2 linked regions of the Kluyveromyces lactis genome follow. Each later gene encodes a partner of the first gene's protein in a complex. Links are inferred from orthologs where the notes say so. Each region holds a gene or a part of one and is shown in the gene's direction. Other genes may lie near its edges. The genes, in order: ARC19 and ARC15.

Region 1 (2,628 bases):
ACTCAACAAAGGTAATGTAAATTTTGAAAACATCACTCCTTGTAATTGATACGAAGTTCTTATTTGAATCGAATCTTGGTGATCCCCATAGATATTTTGTAGCGAATTTGCTCCATGGTAAGTTGCTGGGGTCAATATCATCGGATATGCTAACAAAATACAGATTCAATTCTTTTAATGCCTCGTTTCTAACTTTGGTATGCTGTGCTTCGTGTTCATGCTGTAATGAAGATATGTACCTTTGGAACGTACGCTTTTTCTGTTTCTCATCAATGACAGAATGCTTGTAAATAGGTTCATTCATTATCTGCCTCTTGATAGTTTTCCAACGCGAATAGTAACGAATGTTGGGCAATTTCTCAAGCATTTCTATAAAGGCCTGTTCGAATTTTTCCAAATGTTGATGCTCTTTAATCAACTCCGATTCTGTTCTGTTCGACAAGAACTTGTCAAACATTGATTGTTTCCACAATGGGTCATCATCTATGATCCAATAATGCGGATCTTTGTTCCCAATTTCGCGAATAATCCTATTGAACGACCATGTAGAATCCACTTCGTTATCTTGTAACATTTGCAAAAACACCTTCTCGGCTTCTTCCTTTGATGGAGCCTTTCGTACAACCAAAAGTTCTGATTCGTTTTTGTATTTGTTCTCGCTATCTTTCAAGATTTTTTGTACATCTACATCTTTTCCACTTTCTACCTGTGTAGAGTTGGTGTCAGCTGCCGATGCAGTATCCGGTTGCCCAGCTTTGCCAGACGATTTGGTTGGTATACTTCTCTCATCACGGTTATCATCGTTCTCAAAAACCGGCACGTTCCACGTAGTCTCTCCTGTGTCTGACTTGTAATAATAAACCCTACCATCCTCTGCAAGAGCAGTTTTCCAACCATATTTCAGCAGCTTCCTTTCAAACTCGGTGAATAGCTCTTCTGGTTTTTCCCAAGTGGTCTGTCCTGTATCATTATAATAATAGACTCTTCCTTGAGGATCTTTGGTCTCTTGCCAGGACATTTGAAATTAAAATGTTTCTGGCTGGAGAATTGCTATCTAGACACTTGGATAACTGATGGTCGTCTCATCCCCTCATCCCATCGCTAACACAGTTTAAATCATTTGGATTGAGATTTCAATTCATAATATTAGATCATAAACCTTGTTACCCTGATTGTATTAAGCTGTGGTAAGAATGCTATAACGTGGGATCAATGCCTCCATCAGACCTGAAACTTAGGACAAAATAAGCCTGATGATTCCCTTCCATCATTTCCACAGTTTTTGGCATCCAATGGCCTCATTTGACCCAGCAATTTCTAGTTTTCCGTGTCTTCTTTCTTACATTGGTCCAGTTAATGTGCTGAAATTTCATTCAGAATTAATTCTTTTGACCCTATTTGAACCAAATCACAACCGATAACGTTGAATAAAGACAGGTTTGCAACCCCATCTTTTGGCCATTGTCACCGTAAAAGCTGCAGTTCTCCAACCCATCAGTTAATAAGTGAAGGAAAAATGTCTCAATCGCTACGTCCATACTTAACAGCAGTGCGTTACTCATTGCAAGCTGCTTTGAATCTATCAAACTTCTCCTCTCAAGAAGTGGAAAGACACAACAGACCTGAGGTCGAAGTGGACAATACAAGTGCAGAACTTCTATTACAACCTATGCATATCGCACGTAATGAACACGAACAAGTTCTAATCGAACCAAGTGTCAACTCCGTCCGTATGAGTATTAAAGTGAAACAAGCAGATGAGATTGAACAAATTTTGGTACACAAATTCACCAGTTTCCTCGAACAAAGAGCAGAGAATTTTTACGTGCTAAGACGTGTCCCAGTGCCTGGGTATAGTATCTCTTTCTTGATCACAAATAAACACACCGAGACTATGATTACCGAGAAATTGATCGAATTCATCATCGACTTCATGGAAGAGGTCGACAAAGAAATCTCTGAAATGAAATTGTTCTTGAACGCCAGAGCTAGATTCGCAGCAGAAGCGTACTTGGAACAATTCGTCTACTAGATTGCCAACTCTCGTGGATATATAGATGTATAGTCCATGTATAGTTAAACAAAGTATTATGATCACGTGAACCGTTCCTAGTTCCATTGGTTTGTTACCCGGCTATATGAGATTTTTCGAAACCAACAAAGAAGGTTAATAAATGGAAACGTACTGAGGAAAAGATAAACGTTTGTTTGTTGATAACGCATCGGACGGTGATTTAGGGACCTTGGACGCGTATTTGGCTGCTTCAAGTGACTAGATTCGGTAGTTTTAGGGTGCAAGTCTCTTGTACTGAAGGATTTTGTGGTGTAAAGCGTTTGAGATAGAGTCTGTCTTTACTATTCTCTTTGCTTTTGTATATCAAGGTTTCGACAGGTTTATCAAAGAGCGCGATGAGTGGAAGCGCAGCATCCGTTAATGGTGGTGACTCTCTCTGGAAGGCCGATTCTTCTGAAGATGTGGATTCTGGTACAGGGAACCCTGAGGACGCTGGGAACAGTATTAGAACTGGTAAGGAGACCACTTCAGTTGAAGCAGGTTCGGCGTCTGCGTCGAGCTCTCCAAGAAACATTAACTTGAAGAATAAGGTTTCGGGTACCAATACTACTAGT
Region 2 (2,456 bases), on another chromosome or scaffold:
GTCAAAACGCTGGTAAGAAGTTGGAAGGATATAACAAGTCTGAGATTATTTATTCGAATCTACAAATTGATGACATAAAGAAACTAGAAAGTGAAGGTGCTGTCGATGTGTGGGTCATGGCGTTGCCAAACAAAGTGTGCGAACCATTCGTTGAGGCCATTGAGTCGGTTGCCAACGGTAAATCCAAAATTGTCGATCTATCCGCTGATCATAGATTTGTCCCGGAGACGGAATGGAGCTACGGATTACCAGAGTTAAACAACAGAGAAGCAATTGCCAATGCTAAAAAGATTGCTAACCCCGGTTGTTACGCCACCGGTGCCCAAGTAGCGATTGCTCCTCTATCGGAATACATCACAGGATTACCCACAGTCTTTGGTGTTTCTGGTTATTCTGGTGCTGGTACTACACCATCTCCAAAGAATGATCCAAAATTCTTGAACAACAATCTAATTCCTTACTCCTTAACAAACCATATCCATGAGCGTGAAATTTCAACTCGTTTGGGTTTGGAAGTCGCATTTGTTCCTCATGTTGCCCAATGGTTCCAAGGTATTTCTCATACTATTTCTATTCCTATTAAGAAGAACTCACTATCTTCAGAACAAATTAAGGCCTTGTACACCGAATTCTACGCTAACGAAAAGTTGGTACATGTTGCCGATGATATTCCGTTAGTTAAGGACGTTTCTGGTACTCACGGAGTAGTTGTTGGTGGTTTCAAGGTAAATGATGCAAAAGACCGTGTCGTAGTCTGTGCTACTATTGACAACTTATTGAAGGGTGCTGCCACTCAATGCTTACAGAACATCAACCTGGCCTTGAGTTACGGTGAATACGACGGTATTCCAGACAATAAGATTATTCAATAAACGGAACCACCAAAGAATAACCCGTATATCTATATCAATTTGAACTTAGTTAATATATATGTATAAGAAGATAATGTTATCATCTGCTTATCGTTCTTCCTGTCAGTGATAAACAGTCAATCGGTCCAGTGCTGTAAACCATAGTTACCCTGTTTCCAGATTTATTACCCGGATATCTCCTATAAGTTACTATTGAATGGGATTCATATTGAATGGAAACCTTTAAATGGATTAGGTTAAAATACTCGAAATAACTGCAGGCCGGTCTACTTCTTTTATCAGGAAGCATTAGCGCTGAATTATCCTTATCGTATTCATCCAAGCAGCTGCCTTCTGAACTAGTAATATGGAAGACTGGAGAAGAATTGATATCGATGCTTACGATCCTGAAAGTGGGAGATTAACGGCGGATGATTTGAAACCACCATATTCACATACCGTGAGTTTACAAGAGTTACAGCCAACCATTCAACAGTTACGTTCTTACACATCATCTGGTGATTTTGCAGCTGCTGTTGAGCTATTCACAACTGATCCTCCATACAACGCCGACGAACAAGCGAAATCACAATATTTCTCTGGTATATTGGAGGTGCTAACCCAAGTGAGACAAGTGGATATTGCTAATATAGTTAAGCGCTTGGATCGCAAGCAACAAGACGCATTGATAAAATACCTATACAAGGGTATGTCTATACCTGAGGGTCAAAAGCATGGGGGTATCCTTCTCGCATGGTTCGAAAAGTTAACGCAAGTTGCGGGTGTCAATCCAATCGTTCACTATCTCTCGGATAGAAGAACTGTATAAAGAACTATATAACAGTACGATTTTACTTAATTTAGTATGATATATTTACTCTAACGTATATGATCCAGTTTCACCTACCAATGGGCGATCATTACGGATCTTTGTTTGTTTGGCCTTTGTTCACATGGAGTGCAGGCCCTTTATTAAGTATTACTGGGACCTCTCAGAGTTAGTATTTCCAAAAAAAAAAAAAAGAGAAAGTACTAGTTTTAAACATTCAGTTCTTATTGAAAGCACAGACATATGCCAAGAAAGGGTTATAATATTGTCAAGAAGGCTCCAGTATATTGTTCCTGCTTTTCACAATGCCAGAAACTTTAAACGATAGCAATAAACGTGCGCTTCCTGAGGTGAATTCGGAATTAGAAAGCACAGAAACTCCTGTGAAGAAGGTCAAACTCAATGATAAAGATGAAGCAAAACCTTCAGAAGAGACTGATAAGTTCATAACAGAGAATGATACAGCAAATGAAGAGGCCAATTCCGTAGAGAGACCTAAAAATATTGAAACTGCTGAGACAACGGAAACAGCGGTAACAAAAGAAGAAGATACAAATAATAAAAAAGAAGAAGAGGCCAAGGAAAAAGATGAGGGCGCCAAGGCAGAGATAGAAGGGAAGAAAACAGAACCTAAACCAGAAAAAGACGTGGAAAAACCATCGTTCACATTTGGCCAATCTTCAAGTTTTGTTTCTGGCTTTGGAGTGGCAACTAAACCATTTGGAGCAGCCAATGCTTTTTCTGCTGGTTTACCTGCGGCTAAAACCACTGAGAAA

Evidence for each region.
Region 2: ARC19 (region 1) and ARC15 share a complex: the UniProt entries of both Saccharomyces cerevisiae proteins name them as parts of the arp2/3 complex. The link is inferred for Kluyveromyces lactis from reciprocal best matches to the Saccharomyces cerevisiae genes ARC19 and ARC15.

The regions. Positions count from the first base shown.
Region 1 is NC_006041.1:1,625,483-1,628,110, reverse strand, and holds ARC19 (Arc19p), read left to right. Parts: upstream 1-1,516; coding exon 1,517-2,032; downstream 2,033-2,628. Other genes in the region: snoRNA-splicing protein PRP40, read right to left, coding at 1-1,018; DAL81 (Dal81p), read left to right, coding at 2,410-2,628. UniProt on the Saccharomyces cerevisiae protein: Functions as actin-binding component of the Arp2/3 complex which is involved in regulation of actin polymerization and together with an activating nucleation-promoting factor (NPF) mediates the formation of branched actin networks.
Region 2 is NC_006039.1:699,437-701,892, reverse strand, and holds ARC15 (Arc15p), read left to right. Parts: upstream 1-1,218; coding exon 1,219-1,680; downstream 1,681-2,456. Other genes in the region: ARG56 (bifunctional acetylglutamate kinase/N-acetyl-gamma-glutamyl-phosphate reductase), read left to right, coding at 1-872; YRB2 (Yrb2p), read left to right, coding at 1,986-2,456. UniProt on the Saccharomyces cerevisiae protein: Functions as a component of the Arp2/3 complex which is involved in regulation of actin polymerization and together with an activating nucleation-promoting factor (NPF) mediates the formation of branched actin networks.